Schizosaccharomyces pombe: one gene and its partners. The gene in region 1 interacts genetically with each later gene. Each region holds a gene or a part of one and is shown in the gene's direction. Other genes may lie near its edges.

Region 1 (8,137 bases):
AAAGCAAACAATTAAAAGAATGAACACAAATAGAAATGAAAAGGAAGAACAAATATGCAGGCCCAATAATATTTCAAAATAATTAAATGCGCTAGAAACAAAAGAAATTTTGGAACTTCAAAACCAAAAGAATAACCGTTCTGAAAAGAAAAAGATTTTACTTCTTTTCTAAAACCTGTTATAACAAAGAATAACAGTAAAATACAGCATGTAAAGACTACTTTTACGCTTTCGAAATAGAAAGTAGTAGTTGTAATTATCGGAAGGGAAAAAGAAAGCTGTCAAGCGACTACACGCTACTAAGTCTCGCTGCTATTCAATCAGAAACGTACTTTAGTATCAATGAGGGCAAAACAATGTGTCCGTGCTTTGTAGCCAAACGTTTAAGCAGAATGTGCTTTTGGTGGCTGATGAAAAGTGGTGGATAATGAACTAGTTTTATTCAATGGCAACCCACAAGCCAACGAAAGTTCAACATTATATCTATTTAATTTACATATTTTTTAGAATTCTTTCATTGATAATCAAGAAAAATAAAAAAAGTAGGCTCACCTCTAGATACACAATCTAATATGCTTCGTAAATTTCGCAAGCTCAATGTTTATTTGGGATTAGAGATATCTTCATTATGCTTTAAAACAGTGCTTTTACATACTATAAGAAATTCAGTCTTGCCATTGTATTACATATAAACTGGTTTCCAATAGTTTCGAGAAGGGTCGATTTTGGAAAGGGTTGAAATCGGTTTAGTTTATGATATTTTCAATAATGTTAAAATACTGTTTGTCGTTTTAACTTGGGACTCGTCTTGGCTGATTTGAATAAACCACTGAAGTTTTTTGTCTTTCTTTTTTATTCCTCTGAATCGGAAATACTTTTCCCGATAAGCGTTTCGAATGAATAGAATTGAAATTGTTTTGTCCCTTTACTTTCTACTTATATAAAAGAAGACGCACTTCTTTTGGAGACATATTCTCAAACAACACAAAATATGCTGGATTGTAAATACTCAGTTTAAACACATATGAGAACTTAAAGTAAGATATCTTTATTATCAATTTATTTTATTAGCTTCACATGAAGGAATATAAATTACATTTATTTCAAAACCTGATTAATACTTGTTCGCAGCTTTAGGTATGTGTATAAATTTATTAAATATGCTTAGTAACTGTCTACGGCCACACCTAGGCGAAAACACCAGTTCCCGTCCGATCACTGCAGTTAAGCGTCTGAGGGCCTCGTTAGTACTATGGTTGGAGACAACATGGGAATCCGGGGTGCTGTAGGCTCCTTTCTTTTTTTTTCGGAATATTATTTTATTCTTACAATGTTAACGGCTTCACTGAATTTTTTATGCTGCTTTGTTGATGATACTGTAAAAAATAGTGACAAATAAAGATTTTGAAATATATCAAACCTATCTGTAAACATTTGAGAACAATTCTAGCGTACGAATTAACTTGTCCATATCTTGTTGTCATACGAATGCACTGTTTATTGTTCATCGTTGACAGTTTTCAATGTAAAATCAATTTTTTATTTGAGAAAATGGTTTCTAATGTGCCGCTTTTGTTAAAAAATTATAGTGCAACAATAGATAGATATGCTATTCCTTGAAATGTGGGTTTCTTTTCATTACTCTTTACAGTTTTCTGTTATGTTGTCGTTTTGAAAATGGACTCTTCACAAGAAGAGAGTATTGACTTTAGCAATTTAAACATAGAATCTTAGCACGTTTGATTTTATTATTTTATAATTAGTTAGTCATTTGAATTGCCAAAAATGGTGACTTAATTTTGGTTACTAACAATTGAATAAAAAAATAAAATAAAAATAAAAAGAAGAAAAATCAATATAAATTGCGAGATGATACTACTAAAGTTCACAGCAATTTTTTTTAAAAAACAACGAAAATTTGTAAAAAATGACAAAATTAAAGATGAAATAGTAAAATAATGCGAACGCTTCATCAAACCATTTGACACATTAGTTATAAGCATTGACAGAAACTTTGATAATAATGCTTTTAGAATTTATCTTAATATAACTAGGCGATTATTCAGCTGTACAATTTAGTTTTTTTGAATAAATTATAATGTTATTTTATCAATATTCTATGTTTTTATAACTCTACAATTAAATAGATATATGCTTTTTAATAGAGCATTCTAACAAGCTTTGGTGGTTTAGTGGTATAATGAATCGTTGCCATCGATTCGACCCGGGTTCGATTCCCGGCCAAAGCAATGTTTCTTGTTTTTATTGTTAATTTAATATTAGCAGGCTTCATATTTATTTTTTTAGATAAAGGGCATCACGTTTATAAGTGTGGTTCACTTGAACCCAACAAAGTGAATGAAGAGCTTCGAATGTTACTGAAGCCGCGTAATTAGAACGGATGGATTATTACTTGAAGCAGTAATTAAAGTTTTCATAAATTGACCAACTGAATACCCGATATTGCATTGCAAATTTCTAAACATACCAACGTGTTAGGAATCTGTAATAGCAAAGCATGGAACGAAAGGTGTTTAGTCAACTTGAATTTAGCTAAACGAATTGCACATCTTTTAACAGTATCGAAGAAATTGGGCAATAGAAAAGTTAATACAATGAGCTCTACTTTCATCATATTTTCATGTATTCAGGCAAGCAGCTAACTAGCTATTGTCTTAAGAGCAATAAAGATACACAACGGTAAATCGTTAAATACAATAGTAAACTGCACTCCACTACTATATAAATCAAGCTTTTAGAAAAGGTAATCGCAAAAATGAAGAAAAAGTAAAGTAAAATTTAAACAATAACATTGTTCTTTATAACGTTATAAGTTTTTCTATGTATAAAAATTTCAAGGAAAGCTATAGTTTGCACTTTAGCGCATTCACTACCACCTTGCTCTGGTATAGGCAATTTCCATTTAAGCAAAAGCACTATGCTGCACGACACCAAAACGCAGCCAGAACCACTACCCTTAAATAACACGAAAAATCTTGCATATCGTCTTGAAGCACGAATACACGTGCCTTGTCGATTTTCAAGACCTGTATTAATTTTTGTAAAGAAAAGTAGAATCAAAAATGAGTGAGAATAAAAAGTTTCGGCCAAAGAAGGTCGGAAATACCGAACAAGTTTCAGAAAAGCAACACACAGATACAGCGTTAAATATATCGCAAGATAATAAAACTTCATCCTCTTCCGCCAAGAGAGGAGCGAAGGGAAGGCGAGGCACCAAAGGAAAATCTGGCCCGGCAAATTCGTCTCAGACTAGTAATATAGAGGGATCAAATGCGCTTGAGCTCGAATTTGATCGTGATTCGCAGTTAAGCGTATTGCAAGAGCTGTTTCCTAGCTGGACGATTGATGATTTAAGTTTTGCTTTAGAAGAAGCGGACCGGGATTTGGAACTGACCATATTGCATATTACTGAAGGTCACGCCTCCAAATGGGGTGAAGTTAAAAAGAAGCCAATCCCTAAAACAAAGTCCAAACCAACAAGTCATGCTCCAGTTTCCGATAATGTCTCTTCCACCTTTCGTAATGCTACACGTAAATCAAAGAAACCTTCCGCTTCTAAGGATACTTCTCGGGGGGTTCGAAAATCAAAAGCAGGAGCTCCCTCAGATCCTTCTTCCGTTCATGCACCATCCTCTTTAGAAAAGCCTGCTGGTACTGGCGATCTTCCTTCCTCAGAAATTTCTACCAAAGCTCCTGCATCAACGACAGTGTCTTCTTCCGTTGATCCTGGTACTATTAATGAAGATTCCTCAATGAAAGATCATACTACATCTAATGAACAAGCTTCAGTTTTAACATCGGCTAATACCGCTGCTTCAACAAATACGAACGGCACCGCAGGCGGTACTTCGGCCTCAGCAAAGTCGACCAGTGCGGCTGATCAGGCTGTTGCATCTTCAAAGCCTATAAAGAAGGCTTGGGCTTCAGTTGCAAAGTCGAAGAAAAAGGTCACTCCCGCTCCCGCTCCCGCTCCCGAATCCGAACCTTCTAAACCCTCTATCGCTCCTTCTCAACCCTCTAAAACTAATGTTTCCGCTGCTTACGAAAAACCTGCTGAACTGTCATCCTCATCTGTTCCTTTCCCTCACAAATCCCAGGACTCTGCAACTCCCGCAAATGTTGAAACGACCCCCTCCACAGCTACCTCAGCTCCCAAAAAGAGTACTGCCCCATTTGCCATAAATGCAGTCAAGCCCGCTCCTGGGCTTTCCAACATCTCTTCTGCTTCCCTACCTAAGCCCTCCTTTGCGAAGCAAGCCGCTGTTGGCTCTCAAAGCTCTACAACTAGTATGACTACTGCTCGATTACTTTCTGATAGATTCCCCGTCGTTATGCCTGTTGCTAATACTGCTGCTATTCCCGAAAAGGTTCAAGTGCGTTTCGGAAGCTTGACACTTGGGGGTGAGGACAAAAAATCGACAAAGTCTTCTTCAGACAACATAGCACAGTCTGGACCAAGAAGTTCCTATTTTCCTAAAAAGACAGTTTCACCAAAGCCAGAGGCAAAAAAAGAGGCGAGCAAAGTTGCTGAATCCACCAAAATCCCAAAGAAACAACACACTTCAGCATATGAAAGCCGTGCTCCACAATCGAAGGTTCCCGAAAACTTGAAGGAATCTCATGTTAACGAGACACCATATCGTGGTTTACACGATGTAAATTTACCGGCCAGTGGAAACGCCTCTTCTGTCTCGGCCATCCCTCCTCAAGTATCAGCCCAAACGACTATACCCGCTGCATCCACAAGTGCTACAAGTGGCCCGGTGGTTGGTAAACAAAGTGCCGGATATGGCGGTATTTATTCTCCTGCTACACATGGAATTTCCCCTCAACCATATGCTGGTGCTAGTCTTATTCCTCCGTCTACCGGAGCTGCTTTTAACAACGAAACTGCATCTTCAAATGCTGGGGAGACAACTGCACTTCCATATTCTTCTAGATTTATGAATCCTGTGGAAAACCGCTCCGCCAATAGCCCATTCGACAATTTTCAACACATCGACCATAGTACTGAATTGGGATATGCTTCAAATACTTCTCAACAATATCAACAGACTAGTCATCCAGCATACACTACTATGTCTCCTATTGAATATGGTCAAGCTGCACCAGCAGCTCATTACTATAATGAGCGTAATCAATACTCACAATATGATAATGTCGCTGGTAGTGCGTCGAATACACCAGATGTGCACTCGGTAATGCATAACAAGGTTGCATCTTCTAATGCTACTTCTCTACCTGCTGCTGGAACAGCGACTCCTAGCCCTGTTGTTTCTCAACAACAGCCCCAACCTTATGCATTTCCTCCAATGTATCCTATTCCTTATGTGTCTTATGGATACGGTACGATGCCTTACAATAATAACAAGTTTGGACAGCCCCAGCAAGGATACATGTCTCAGAGCGGCTTTAATGATTTCCCTCCCATCTTTGGTGGACACAGCAACGTGTACAACAGACAACAGCCTGGCAATGTAAGTGGTATGAGTGGAACACAAACTAGCAACCCAATTAATAATGCCACTGCAAATACTAGCGGCATGACTGAGAAAGCGGCTGGACATCGTGACTCTGTGATTGGAAATGGAGGCGTAACCGGGGCGAACAGCATGTCAAGTACTTTGGGTGGTTTGTCTTCCATGTCAGGGATGGGACGTGCGGCTCCTGGTATGTTTATGGGTAATGTTGGAAGTTTTGAAAACCTTAGTGCCAATGCGGCCTCTCCTTATGGCTTACCTCCTCAACAAACGCCATTGACCAATGCTGCTACTCAGCAGACAACCTCTTTTCAAAGCAATGCTAACAAGGTCAACAATGCAAACAGCCAACCCGCTGGGTTTCCGTTCAACTCTGGAGCATCTACCAATGCAGGTAGTAATGGATTAGGAGGCTATAATGCATACAACCAGTCATTTATAAACCGACCAGGAGGTTGGTACGGTAATGCTTAAATTGAACTTATGATCAAAAAGTTTGATAACGTAGAAGTTGGAAAATGCTTTTTATAAGGATTCAAAAATAGGCTAAAAATAATTGCGGACAAGATGCTATTAATGGAAGGGTAAAATCGATTTTATTGGGACAATCGAATTTATGAAGTTTTTCAATATATATATGTGTGTGATTTATATGGCTATGTGGTCACATGTGTTTTCTGTTTGATAGTGCTTAATTATGTAGTTTGAAATGTTGCTTGTTCATATCATAACATATCATACCACGCCGTAATGTTGCCATTATATGGTAATTCCTTGTATGTTCATAGAGTATTTTTTTATTGCATTATTAAAACAAACTGGCGTTTTGGAAGAGGGAAAGGGTAAATAAAGATTTGATGTTAAGGTATTTGTAGGTGTGGGTAAGCAATGCGAAGTGGGATAACTAGTTTCAAGTAATGATTATTATATTTCCAAAAGTCAAGTGCTAATGAAACACGTTTAATCAGTTGGCAATTTAGGGGGGTGGTTCACTCGGCATTCCTATTTTAAACAATTTTTGACGGCAAATGTTAAGCGAATTCGCTAAAGCAAAGTGTAAAAAAAAAAAAGCTTCGCTAGTAATATATGCCACACTTCAGTCAACAACACTACGTCAACCCTATACGCTAAGTCTACTGAATAGAAAAACTTGATACTTTTATTTACATTGAAATGAAGAGCAAATTTGTATAATACGTATTATTGATTCTAGAAATATAGCAAATTGAAACATCCAAATTTAGCAAAACAGCATGTCGCTGTTGTAAAATTCTCATGAAAAAATAGAATGTCTAACCTTCACTACTGGCAAGATTCGTTCATGTAGATGTAGTTGAAGAAGAGACAGTGTCATACACAAACGTAGAAAAAGTTCTGAAAAGGAAAAAGACTCCTAGTAGATTATAATTCAAATCAAATCAAACCAATTAAATTCAATAGATCGATGTCTTGAAACATTAATTCCTATAAGGTTGAAAATAGTAGCAATATAACGCAAAAATAGCGAGTCGTAATAGCAAGTAAAATGGTAGTCATTATAAAGGGTTAACTGTATTTCAAGTATAAAGAACGGAGAAAGTTGGAGCAATGGCAATAACACATCGAGGAGTAATTTAGGAAAGTAGTGAGAAAGATGTTAGAAAGGAAATTTAGTAATTTGTAAGTAATGATTTCAGAACTTGGAACGTGAAAGGGAAAAAGATATTTTCATCATAAAGAAAAATTTGCCCATCGTGAAATAGAGAAATAGTGAGAAGAAAACCACCACCGAAATAGCGAGACCCGCAGTATGTTACTTCACGAGTCTCGCTATTTTAGGATTGCATAGGTTATCGGATGGAATCCAGTAAACAAATGGGTAAGGAAAAGTGCGATCAATGATGAGTGGGTTGGGTTACAAATCAATATAGTCAGGTGAAATTAATTCGTTTCTCGATATAAAAGCAATTGAGAAAGGAATTGGATAAAATTTACAGAGAATTAAAAAATGGAGACAAGAAATAAGTGAAATGGGAGTGAACGCTCTTGTAAAAAAGCTATTGAGACAAGTGAAACGGTGAGAGAATGCGTTGACAAATGTGAAAGAAAAGAGAAAAGGGAATGAATATTTATAACAAAAAAAGGTAACAGGATTATCGATGAATTTTGGGGAAAATTTATGTTGAATTGCATGACTTTTTAGAAATCACGCCTCGAATACCGTTAGACATATCATGGTAAACATGTGATTTAGGAATTGGCACATGTAAATGAGGTTGTTGGGTAGAGAGCGGATTTGAATGGTGGTAGATAATTTAGGGTAAATTTGGGATGGATAGAGTAAATGTGAAAATAGTATGTAGGATGGCGGGGGATGCGTGCGAAAGAAAAAGAACGATGCGAAATGAATTGTAAAGTATGTGACTTGGGATGATGCGAAAAAAAAAGAGTCTGGAATAAAATTTGAAGAAGAGAAGAAATACAGTAGGTGGGAGTGCAATGAATTGAATTGGAAGCGAGGAAGCGAACAAAATCGATGGATAACAAGTGAATGAACAACAAAGTGAATTTAGTTTAAAGTCAATTGCTTTGTTGAAAATCAATTTCCTCTGTTTTATCAAGTGTGCGAAGGACAAAGGGAGTAAGAAAGATTCAAA
Region 2 (6,316 bases), on another chromosome or scaffold:
ATATATACAGACTTTAATTACTTATAACATTGCTTAATTAAAAGTGTGCTTTGTGTTTACTAGTGCTCCTAACCAGCTCGCTTTTCCTAAGCTTGTAAATAAAACAAAGTACACTGAATGTCCATTACTCAAGGCAATTGCCAAAAAAAAAGGGCATTAGCAAAAGCGAAAATAAACTTGCCCCACAATTTTGTTCAGGTATAGTCCTAGAACACTGTTCCACACCGGTTTCCTCGCATACACGTCTTCGTTGACTTTCGCTCGCATGCTGCAAATCCTTTTTTGACAAATAGCGTGCAGCATAGCTAGTCCAACGTACGCACGTTAGTTTACGAGCCTAAATGTACTCCACGTCATGGAGGGAAAGGTAACTTGGAAGGTTAGCCCCACACTTTCCTTAACCCCATTATCTCCATTTTTCAATGATGTCAACGTAAAAGGTGGAAGCTCGCTTGTTCCGAATGACGGCGAATAGAAACGTAGAATTTTTCAAACCGTAATTTGATTGGCGGAAGGTTTGGTTTTCATGAATGTTCTCCACACTATGGGAAAACGAGGGGAGCAAAGTGAACAAAATACTGAGAGGTGATTGGATATGTCCCACTTTTTCATGTGATGCTCCTCATTTAACTAATAATTGGTGCGAAAATTTTCTTGCTCTTGCGGTAGACATTTTTGCACTGCGCATGTGTTCCTCCATTGTTCTAGACTGCGTTCCTCTACACCACCCCGCATTTGTTCGTCCGACTTTAGGCTCTTTTCCTTCTTCCCCGCCAAACTTTTGAGCGGATACTTGCCTGATTTCTTACCGGAATGGTGAGGGGCGAACACCTTTAGAATAGTGTTTCAAACACTTTTTTTTGGGTTTTGGCGGGGTTAAACTGACGAACAACGAAGAAAAAACAAGAATTCTAACAATTTACAACAGAATCCGTAAAAAAATTAGAAGCTTGTCTGACCAGCGGTAGTATAGAAGGGTTTAAACGGTGAGTAGAGTGTTTGTATTTTTCCCCAGTGTACCTTTTGCCAGTAGACAAACATCCCATCCTTTCTTGTGGGCAGCGTTATTTTGATGATAACTCTATCCCACTATTACTCCAGTTGCTTGGATACATCGTCGCAGCTCTGGACCAATGTTGCAGTTGCTTCCTAATTTTTAGAGGGTCAGTTGCCGGTACTCACGGGGCCCCAGACATGGATTCTGTCAAGATTGTGGGGTAGATGCAAGTTGAAGTCAAAAAAATGAGAATCAAAAACTTGAAAATAAAATACATAAAATGATTTATTTTATTTTTCTTTGTATAATCCATGTAAAATTATAGACTGTATGCACTGAAACCTTGTTCCGAGCGACTGGTCCCAGGTATATAAGTGGTGCTGGTGCACAGGCATTTTCACCACCATCGCAATCAAACAACTTTCCTTGATCTGTTCATTGTTTCAAAACAAAAAATTCCGTTTTTTGGAATCCCTAATCATCTTCCTTACTTTTATTTAAATCTTAATCCATCCAAGCGAGGAATTTTGCATTTTCCTTTCTTGTGATTGCTCCCTTTTTCTTAGCTCTTTGAAAAATACCCCAAAAAAGAAAACACTAACACTCTTTCGGTTAGAGAGCGTTTTCGCATTAGTTGAATCCAAAAACATATTTTACGATCCAACACTGTGATTTGGCTTAATTTCTTTTTTCAGTGATTCCCTCATTCCTTCATCATAATTTCTCGTATCATCATCACACTTTTCTTTCCTAGTGTATCCTTTGGTGCGATTTCCGGTTTTCTCGTCGTTATTCCTTTTTAATTTTCTCTTTCTTATTACTCACTCAAACAAAAAAAGGTCGTCGTGGACTTTTTAAATCGTTGTACTTTTAGCACTTTCCTACATCTTCCTTTTGAATATTTATTATTTATCCTTTAGGGAAAAGATTTTATTCATTTTGAACCTTTGCATTAAACTTCGTTTGCCAGGTTCTTTCATTTTGTTTTTAGTCCCGTTTTCCTGCCTTCTTTAGTTCTATCTATTGTGGGGTTTGTGTTTTCGTCCACTATTTGCAAATTCTAGGTTTTTGTTACTTTACCACTTTTTCCTCTCCGACTTACGGAATAGTATCAGTCCGAGATCTTGATTGGGTGTCATTCGGAAAGTAATACACTCGTGTGACGTTTATTAAATTTTTTTTCTTATATACCCTTTCCGTCCCACTCCCAACTTTGAACGTTCATTTGGGGATTTAATTTGCATACATCTTTGCATATCTATTCTCAACATTTTAGTTTAAATATTCAAAATGCTTTTCCGCGGATTAAGCCTGTGGATGCTCTTTTTGGCATCCTGCCTTTCTGCCCTTGCTCTTCCCGCTGCTGAAGACGATGGTTCTGTCAAGGTCTTCAAGCGTGCCAAGAAGCATAGCACTAAGCAAGAGGGACCCAGTTACGCTCCTTATTATGTGGACTGTCCCTCTGATAACATTGTCGAGAGTCTCTCCAGCAATGAGATTCCTAGCGCCGAGTCTGAATACTTGAGCACTCGTTCTACTATTACCAACACTGCCATGAAGGACTTCCTTCGTAACGCCAACTTGCCTGGTTTGAATGCCGATACTCTTTCTGGCTCTGAAGGTCCTTCTATCGGTATTGCCTTGTCCGGTGGTGGTTTACGTGCCATGATTTTGGGTTCTGGTGCCCTCTCTGCCATGGATGCTCGTCACGACAACCACACTGTTTTGACTGGTCTCCTTCAAGCCTCTGACTATCTCGTTGGTACTGATGGTAGTGCCTGGACTGTTGGTGGCATTGCTCTCAACAATTTCAGTACCATTAACGACTTTAGCAAACTTTGGGCTTTCAACCACCCTTTGATGTATCCCAAGAGTGCTATTGTTTTCAACGCTCATTTCTACAGTTCTATTATGAATGAAGTTGCCGAAAAGGCCAATGCTGGCTTTAACATCAGTCTTTCCGATTACTGGGGACGTGTGATTTCTCGTACCCTTGGTGACACTACTTATGGTTTCCCTAATGTCTCTTTGTCTAGTATTACTTCCCAAGAATGGTACCGCAATGCCAACTTCCCTTACCCCATCATTACCTTTGCTACCCAAAACTATGGTGAGGATATTAGCAATGTTAACACTACTTTCTTTGAAGCTTCCCCCAACGTTTTCGGTACCTTTGACCATGGAATCAACTCCTTTATTCCTACCGAATACTTGGGTACTACCTTAAACAATGGTGCTAGCAGCAATGGTTCTTGCGTTATCAACTATGACAACTTTGGTTTCATGATGGGTGCTTCTTCTACTTACTTCAACAAGATAATGCGTAACTTCAATGACTCTTCTACCAAGAACGGTCGTATCATCCAACAATACTTGAAAGGTAACTTTTCTGAAAACGGTCAACAAATCATCTCCATTCCCAACCCCTTCCAAGGTGTTGAGAGTGCTAATTCTGATGCTGCCAACAACTTGGGTTCCAGCTCTTCCCTTAACTTAGTTGATACCTTCCTTACTGGTGAGAAGATTCCTTTGTGGCCTTTGTTGCAAAAGGGTCGTGATGTCGATGTTATCGTTGCCGTTGACAATGGTGATGACAGTGAATGGCTCTGGCCCAACGGTAACTCTCTTGTCCAAACTTATGAGCGTGTCGTTGCTGCCCAAGCTGCCGGAAACACCAATGTTAAGGGTTTCCCCTACGTTCCTAGCCAACAATCCTTTGTCAGTCTTCACTTCAACGATCGCCCTGTCTTCTTTGGTTGTGATGGTCGTAACACCACTGCTGGTAACCACACTGTTACCCGTGACACTCCTCCTTTGGTTATCTATCTTCCCAACGTTCCTTACAACTACTTCACTAACATTTCCACTGATCGCACCTACTACACTGAAGACATGATTCAACAACTTCTTACCAACGGCCTTATTTCCTCTACCGTTGACAATGACACCTACTTTGGTCAATGTTTTGCCTGTGCCGTTGTTAAGCGTACTTTGGAGCGTAACAACATCACTGCTAGCCCCGAGTGCCAACAATGCTACTATAACTACTGCTGGAGCGGTCTTTATGATGACAGCGCTGCTAATGATGATATTGTCTACAATCCTACTTGCCGTCTTGGTGAAGGCATTTAAGGAAAGGCGCATGCAAACTTTTCTCTCTTCAGTATTTATACGACATATCTGTTGCTCACAAGCAAAAGATAGAGGGCAATGCTTATGCCTGGAAAAAAGTTTTTAAAAAAAATCTATACAATGTCTGCTGTCTTAGCATAAATCAAACCTAGCCATATATGTGAATCAATCCAATTACGCGATATGGGTTTTTGTTAACGGATTATTAAACTGAACGTTCACTCCGCTCTAATTAGGGAGACTATTTTGTTATCTTCCGAAAGTATTTTATTCTAATTTACCCTCTCTTCGGAATGTTTTTTGTTCATTTTCTATTGTGAGCTTTCGTTTGCTGTAATTCAGTTTTGTTGACGGCTCCAAATTGGACGTGTTCTAGTTGTTTATGAGAGTTGCTGTTATATATAGTTGCGAAAATAAGTCATTTTTTTAATTCTTGGTTGTAATAAGAATGTTGTTTGTCTATATAAATAAGTTGACTGTAATTTTTTTGTTTTGTTTGATTCAAAAAATTATTATTTATATGTATATATTTTGTATGATAAAATTTGATTTTTAAAGGTTTGCTATACTTGAACAAGGAATAGTGAACTTTAACATACAGCCTATAATTCATTAATTAGGATGAGGAAGGAGATGTAGAAATGAAAAAATTTAGTTAACGTAAAACAGATTATACGATCATTTACAAATTATATCAACTGTACGCAATTTAATCAATGAAGTAGTGGGGATGTAGATGAGACAGTATAGAATACATCACAACGAGTAATGGGAGAAAAAAATTGTAGTAGTTGCGCGGGTTTTGCTCGGCCTCGGGCTTTACTTTCTAATCCGATGACTGTGAGTTACGTGTTTTGCAAAATTATTTAGCAAGTGTGCATTTTATGCTTTAAGTCTAAACGAAATGGGATCCGAGTTAACTTTAAGTTGAGGCTTTGCTTTTGATATAGGTATGCGCATGCGATTTACAAAAATCTAATCGAACAGAAGTAAGTATGTGTGTATGATAATAACATTTTGATAAATAAAGAAAACTGGCTAAACATATATTATGTAGAATTGAAAGAGCATAATTACAAGAAGAAAGACACTTGAAGATATGTTGTGATGTCATTAGATGTAGCGACTTTACAAACATGAAACTATGAGGAAAAAAAGAGTTACTGAGAGAGATTGATGATATTTTATATACACCATGACTCCAAAGATTGAAGGAAGTTAATAAATAAACATTGTGATTCATATTTTAATCAATTATGTAAAATGCGGCCAGTTGTAATGTAATGCGACTAATTTGATGCCAGTAATGTGTGTTAAATAATAGTCAAGGACAATCTGCAAGTTCCTTAGAAAGGTCCGGTTTCGAAGAGGCACACTTAATATCCGAGGGCGGCGCAGTTGAAATAACCAGCCCGGTTGAACGCTACATTCTCCTATACTTAACCTGCAAATGTTTCCGTCGTTAAGGATTTTAGATATATAGCTTAGCAACATTCATCCCAATGTGAACTTTAAAGCAGTCATAGTTGACCAGAAGATGAGCAACAAATTCAACGTAAAGGCTTGCGTCTCAGCGACTGCTCAAAATATAGATTTACACAACAACTTTACATATTAAGCGATATTTAAAGGACCGACAGTCTCGGTCTCTTTTCGCATAGAACGGAAGGGCATTTACATCATGGGGATGTAAATGGACCTTTTTTGATCTACAAAATGGGAATCTAAAAAATCTGTCAAAGATAGACATATGTGTCTCTGCTTACATATATATACATATATATATAGGCTGAATCACTTTCAACTTGCCTTTTCCCAATATTAAAATTATCGCACAAGTCGCTACTTTAGCTACTACTAACTTTTAGGGTAAGAAAGTGTAAGGGGGGATTTGCTTGGAGACTAGGCATGAGCTTGTATTTAATTGGAATAAAAGAAAAAGAATAGGAATTCATGAATTTGTTGAATGAAATTGCAAAACTGCAAGTCATTTGTATGAAACATAAAGCAGATGAATCCCAGGTTTTCGGTTACGATGCGACGTTTGCCGATGAACAGAAATGGTAAATGGTTTCGCATTTGATTCCGCAATACCGCAAACAGAAAATTTTATAAACCATGGAATTGTCAAGCGTTTCGCCAAATTCAAGAGCAAAATCCAGTGTTTATCTTAACATTGAGACGCTA
Region 3 (6,386 bases), on another chromosome or scaffold:
GATAGTTAAATCAAATATTCCCGAAATTTATGATCTAAGAATATAAAATGACTTGTTTTAGGTGGTGGGGAAGTGCAAGTGTGAGTAAAGGATTAAAGAAATAAATCTATGTGTCTCTAAAATCTCAAAATATTAATATCAAAATTCCCTTCAATGCGAAAAAATTAACACTTTATACGCTACTATGCTTCAACTGGTTTAAATACAAAATAAATAAACCAAGAATATACTAGTAAACGTTTCGTTTCGTTACGTTATGTCTCGTTTTCGTTTCGCTATTTCGTAAAAGTTATGAGTGTAGCGGAAAAAGGGAGCTTGAAGACGATTTAATAATGCTGGCCTTGTCTCTCTATATATACTATATAACCACCAATTTGCATGACGAAGTGCCCCGCACGTAACGGAAGTGATATTATGCTGAAACAGTGAATAAACACATCTAGATAACCGTAGAACCGTTTTTCATACCCTTCAACTAATTACGAAATGTTGCCGATATGAACAATTAAATTAAATATCAGCTTGCCTTGCCGAAGATGACCTCAATCCATTTTCCTAGTCAAAGAAAAATTTCGCTGACCTTTTGTAGATCATATGCTAGAAAAGTAGTAAAATCGCAGCGTAAACTTGAGTCACCTTTATGTAGCAAAAGATTGCCTTAAAAGGGCAAACTCTACCAATGCCCAAAGAAGCAATGGGACAGGACGATGGCTATTTATTGAAATTGTTAAATCGTTACGAACTGCCATAAGAACCTTAATTAAAAGAAGGTTGTCGAAAAGTGCTCCGGTCTGCACATGTGGAACCAGTCATCTTAGTTAGTGCAGCCCCGGTATTCCACGGTGAAAAGCAAGTTTGCAGTGTAGAAGACAAATGGACCATTTGTTCATCAGTATATACAGTTAGTTAAAAGGATACGAAAGGCTGGATCATTTAGTGAACGAAGTCGCAAGTGAAATACTTGTTCATTATTATGTTCTGGTAAAAAAACCAACTTTTATTACTACAGCAGGAAAACAAACAAAAGTAACATATTGTTGGCAGAAAACACACAACCGAAAAAAACCTGTCTACTAGGAAATGGATCATTTTGATACTTCTGATCCGTTAGATACATTGCAGAACAAAAGATCGACCGAAAGGTTATCAATGACAAAATCTCTCTGGACCCTTTTGTTCTCATCTCTATTCTGTCCAAACCATCATCATCTAGTTCAATTCTTCTTGGACTCTGGTTTGGATGGAATAGTCAAACATTTAATGCCGTACTCTTCCGTAATCATGGCAATGACATGTGCAACAAAGTTGCCGTAAACACCAATGCAAATTCCAACGTAGCAAAAAAAGTATTCCGTCTGAACGTTTTTTAATACGCCAAAAGTATAGGCGTCCACGGCATCCACCAAGAATGGAAGAATAAGCACATTCCAGTATGGGAAGGGAGATTCGGTAATGTGAGAAACAATTACCACTCCAACCGAATAAGCAAAGATAAAAGCGTTCAAGCAAAAAATAGTGAGGAAATGATGTTCAAAGAAAGCAGGATACTTGGCATAGAGTGAAAAGACAGCCATCCATTGGAGGAAATAGGGAAGGATACCACTCAATGCTTTAATCACACTTCCGTTGTTCTTTTGGACGGCTTGAAGAGCATTTCGTAAACTTTGTAAGACATTCAATAGCAGGGCAAATGCCATAAAGTTGTACAAGCATGATCCATATGTGTAGTATGGCAGAAAGGAACGTACAAATCCCCATGACTCGGGAGTGGGATGTAGCTTGAGCCAGAAAGAATCACCCTTAATAGCTGTAAGGGCAAATAGTCCAATAACCATTACAATTCCTTCGACAGGACCCGAGAAGTATGAAAGGTACAAAGTACCCGTATGGTATTCTTCCCAAGTAGAGATGTAAAAGTATAATAAGCTGGCAAATTGAGTAAGGATTGAGCTAAACATATCTAGTTGCAGCAGTTCAATCGTCAGTAAAACTTCAAAGCTCGTATTGATGGCGTCTACTCCATGGTCAAATAATTGACCTAATGGAGATGATGTGCCAGTACGACGCGCTTGCGAGCCATCAATAGCGTCAAAACTTTGGTAAAGAAAAAGGCCAATCGCCCAAGAAGCATACACCCATGATGGGAAAGCATCCATCTCATAATGATACTTGTACACAAGCATAGTAAGGATATTGATAACAACGAATCCAAGCCCGATCAAAGTAATCAAATTAGGTCTAAGTAAAGAGTTAGTAAGAATAAGCAAGCAAACGGGTGTAGATCATACGCCATAGACATGGGAATCACCTTCAAAAGTTGATTCCACCAGTACGGCTTCAAAATATATTTTGAAAGAAGTGAGTTATCAATCGCACTATATTTATAGTTATGAAGATTCTTTAACTGCTTCCGGTTTAACTGCATCTTGAGAAACTACCTGGATATCCTTTCCTTATTCTCCGATAAAGTACTGGTAGAGGGTAAACATGTTACGCGTCTTAGTGTGTAGAAATAAAGGCAAAGCAACGAATGCAGATAAACCTTCTACCGATAAATAAATGTATAATGTAGCTTGCAAAAAAACTTGCACTATAACTATCTTTTAAATTCTAAATTGTAAGGATAATTGTTGCTATCAACCGTTTTGATGTTATTTGTCCATCCGCAGTGGATTACGGATGCCCTAGGCAACAACTGTTTAGAGCAGCAAGGTCGCCCTAAACTTTTATAAACTTCTATTGAATTTCAATAGTCCTTTCTTTTCGCTTGTCCATCGCTTCATCTGCCTTGTGCGACAAGTGTCCTTCCACCACTACCTTTTTCTGCATAAGTCTCACATATGAGTTCTTTAATGGAATTCCAAGACAGAAATACGACAAATAATGAAACAGAACACCAAAAAAGCATCACTGATCAAAGTTCATCGGTCCCTGCAGGGGTAATTTTACCTCCTCCAGCAATTCGAGGTGAGTCATAGTAATTAGTACAATAGACGCGCCTGCTAACGTAGCTTAGAAATAATTGATAAATCTGCTAGTTACGTTGCCAGAAATGGCCCAGCTTTTGAAGAAAAAATTCGCCAGAATGAACAGGCAAATACTAAGTTTGCTTTCTTGCATGCTAATGACCCCTACCACCCATATTATCAGCACAAATTAACTGAAGCGAGGGAGGGAAAATTGAAGAGTCATGCCACAGGCTTGTCAACCCAAAAAACATCCACTTTGGCTCGTCCCATTCAAAAACCTATAGAGGCAACTATTCCTGCTCCCTCACCGTACTTGTTTTCAGAACCACTTCCTTCTATTTCATCACTAGATTTGTAAGTATCATCTCAACTATTATTTCCTTCTTCTTTGAAGTTGCTAATTAACCGTGAATCTAGAGACGTGCTCCGTTTAACTGCGCGATATGCGGCAGTTCGTGGTTCTTCTTTCTTAGTGAGTCTTTCTCAAAAAGAGTGGAATAACACTCAATTTGATTTTTTAAAGCCAAATAATGCATTGTACCCTTACTTTATGCGTATAGTTCAACAATATACTTCTCTAATTAGAGAGCCCATTTCTTCGCCAGAACAGGAGCTTCGTGAAAATGTGAGAGACCCTTATAGCTTACTTTCTAAAATTCAGCCGCGTGTAAGGTGGCAATCGCATATGGAGAGCCAAAAGAAAAAACAAAAGGAAGAAGCCGAAAAAGAGAAGTGTAAGTGTATATTGAGATGCAAAAACTGGTTCAGGAAGTCCAATATTCTTCATTTACCATTTGAATTGGAACTAACTTGTCTTAGTGGAATATGCACAAATTGATTGGAACGATTTTGTCGTTGTTGAAGTGATTCAATTCACAAAGTCCGATGAACATGCAAAATTAGCTAAACCTACGAATTTAGCGGATTTACAAACTGCTACTTTAGAACAAAAGTCTGCCATGTTTACCATGCCTGACCAAAATTACACTATTGAGGAAGCTCCTCCTACAGCGGAGCCTTGGGAGCCCATAAGTGCGCCTAAAAAACAAGAATTTGGTGTTTCTCTTCCTCCATCACTTGCTTCTCCAGAAAAAGGAGGTATTTCTTCAACTACTTCAGTTTCTCCTGCCGCACAAGCTTCTCCCGTTTTGTCTACCACTACTCAGCCGAAGGTACAAAAGCCAGTACCAAAGGGTAAGTTTATATTCCTTATTGTAACTTTACTGACCCTGTTTAGCTTTCCAGCCCAAAGTTCCGATGGAGATATCGCCTTTCTCAGGTGAATTGGTTCCCGCTACAGAACTAGAAGAGCATATGCGTCTAAAATTACTTGACCCTCGCTGGCAGGAACAGCGCAAAGTTGAAGAATCTAGGAAATCAACTTTAAATTTAGAGAACGTGAACGTTGCTGCAAATATGAAAAGATTGGTTAGTCAACGGACTGATTTGTTTGACGTCCAAAACGGGGTAGAAATCTCTCAAGAGGAAATCGAACGAAGAAAACGTGCTGCTACTCAGAGCGCTTGGGGAGCAACTCCCACAAATAAACGCCGGTAGATTTCATAGAACTTTTTTTAATTTTGTTAATTTTTACTTTATTTTATTTAAGCTTCGTAGGACGCCGAAATCTATTAGTTAATTTGCTTCTACAACTCGTGAAATAAATAAGATGTAAATAAACCAGGTGTTGTAGACTTTCTCCAACTAATTGAGAATACAAATATTCTTTATTATAAAAAGTCCAATACACTAAACAAAGCTGGATTTTAACTTAGGAAATGCGGGTCTGGTTTTCATACCCGCCCACCGTCATCCTTAAGTTGTCATACCACGTAACCGCACAAACCTCTTAATTTTTTACTTCTTACATTGTTGATTCTTCATTTATCGGCTTTAATAAATGCTACATACTATCAATTATAGATCTTGGCATTTGGCTGCCAGGCAGTTAGGGCGTTCAACGTTTCGAAAGTTTACGACCGAATCGTCTACTAAAAGCCCTATTGCAGATGTTTGTTTCGCATTTGAGTAATACAGTAATTAATGATCGATTTTTGAAACTAACCAAAGCAGTATTGATGGAGTTTTAATTAGAGGAGGAAGAGGTTTGAAAGAAGGAACGAAGACGTAAGCTTAACTATGAACTACCATTTTCAAACTAACTTGTAAGTTTGAAATTTTTGCAAAAAAATAATATACCTTTTATTCTGTTAACGAATGGAGGTGGTATGCATGAGAGTGTTAGAGCTCAGCGTCTTTCCAAGACATTGAGCGTAAGTTTAACAGAGGATGATTTTTGTCAATCACATACCCCCTTTCGCGCTCTTGCGGATAAGTATAAGCACGTCTTGGTTCTTGGAGGAAAAGACAACAGCGTCCGTGAAACTGCTGAAAAGTATGGGTTTAAAAGTGTTATCAATGAACTCGATGTCATCGCAAAGTTAGGAACTCCATTTTGGCCTTTCACATCTTTTAACGAAGAAGATATTAAAGATGCAAAAGACTTTGACGTTACTAGACCCATTGAAGCAGTTTTCACTTATGTCGATCCTGTCCGACTTGGTTTGGATCTTCAATTGGTGATGGAATTGGGCCAGTCGAAGAATGGTGTTTTAGGAACAGTTTCGAAGACAGCAAATGAAGGTCCCGATATTTACTTTTCTAAGTAAGTTATTTCTTGGAAAGTATCTTTTGTGTAAAAATATTTTTGCAAGCTGTACTCGAATACTATGAGTGAATGCTAACAGCTTTTATAGTGCGGATTTAATTTGGCCTAATGAGTATCCTCTTCCCCGCTTAGGTCAAGGAGCTTTTGCAATTTGCTGTGAAAGTGTTTTTAAAGAACTTACTGGAAAGGACTTAAGAAATACGAAATATGGAAAACCTCATAAGCTGACTTATGATTATGCTAAAAACATTTTAATGAAGAAGCATAAAACTTTAGGAATCACCAATCCTCCCAAGGAAATTTTCATGGTTGGTGATAACCCCGAAAGTGATATTCGTGGTGCGAATAATTACGGTTGGACTAGTATTTTAGTACGTACTGGTATCTTCCAAGGAGACAATAGCCCTAAATATTCTGCGAAGCACGTTTCTGATAATGTATGGGAAGGTGTGCGCTGGGCTCTATCCAAACACGTTCCTGCTGCCAAATTGAACAAGTCAATGGGCGAGGTTCGTGGATTTCACACCTCTTCTCGTGTTTTAAACACTGTGACAAAAAGTAATAACAGTAAGCCTATTCAAAGGCCTTTGCGTGAGAATATTTTTACCTTGCCAAACTTGCTGACATTCTCAAGGCTCCTTTCAGCTCCATTAATTGCTTATCTTTACATTTATGATTATACTAAAGCTGCTGCTTGCTTTTTTTTATATGCTGGATTTACGGATTTGGTTGATGGGTATATAGCTCGA

The links. A genetic interaction does not mean that the proteins touch.
Region 2: mutations in def1 (region 1) and plb1 together harm fitness more than expected from each alone (negative genetic interaction), as found in Schizosaccharomyces pombe (one large-scale study listed by BioGRID).
Region 3: mutations in def1 (region 1) and sap114 together harm fitness more than expected from each alone (negative genetic interaction), as found in Schizosaccharomyces pombe (one large-scale study listed by BioGRID).

What each region holds. Positions count from the first base shown.
Region 1 is NC_003423.3:567,978-576,114, forward strand, and holds def1 (RNAPII degradation factor Def1), read left to right. Parts: upstream 1-2,960; 5' UTR 2,961-3,083; coding exon 3,084-5,975; 3' UTR 5,976-6,343; downstream 6,344-8,137.
Region 2 is NC_003424.3:1,072,590-1,078,905, reverse strand, and holds plb1 (lysophospholipase 1), read left to right. Parts: upstream 1-2,212; 5' UTR 2,213-2,287; coding exon 2,288-4,129; 3' UTR 4,130-4,575; downstream 4,576-6,316. Other genes in the region: SPOM_SPAC1A6.11 (uncharacterized protein), read right to left, coding at 5,052-5,372. UniProt on the Schizosaccharomyces pombe protein: Catalyzes the release of fatty acids from lysophospholipids. Required for survival under high osmolarity, for normal osmotic stress-induced gene expression, and for nutrient-mediated repression of sexual differentiation.
Region 3 is NC_003424.3:1,170,610-1,176,995, reverse strand, and holds sap114 (U2 snRNP-associated protein Sap114), read left to right. Parts: upstream 1-2,547; 5' UTR 2,548-2,840; coding exon 2,841-2,967; intron 2,968-3,016; coding exon 3,017-3,323; intron 3,324-3,386; coding exon 3,387-3,703; intron 3,704-3,788; coding exon 3,789-4,163; intron 4,164-4,206; coding exon 4,207-4,526; 3' UTR 4,527-4,645; downstream 4,646-6,386. Other genes in the region: ept1 (CDP-alcohol phosphatidyltransferase class-I family protein), read right to left, coding at 1,215-2,238, 2,289-2,425; cardiolipin synthase/ hydrolase fusion protein Crd1, read left to right, coding at 4,870-4,997, 5,040-5,096, 5,140-5,634, 5,726-6,386. UniProt on the Schizosaccharomyces pombe protein: Involved in pre-mRNA splicing. May be involved in endoplasmic reticulum-associated protein degradation (ERAD) and required for growth at low and high temperatures.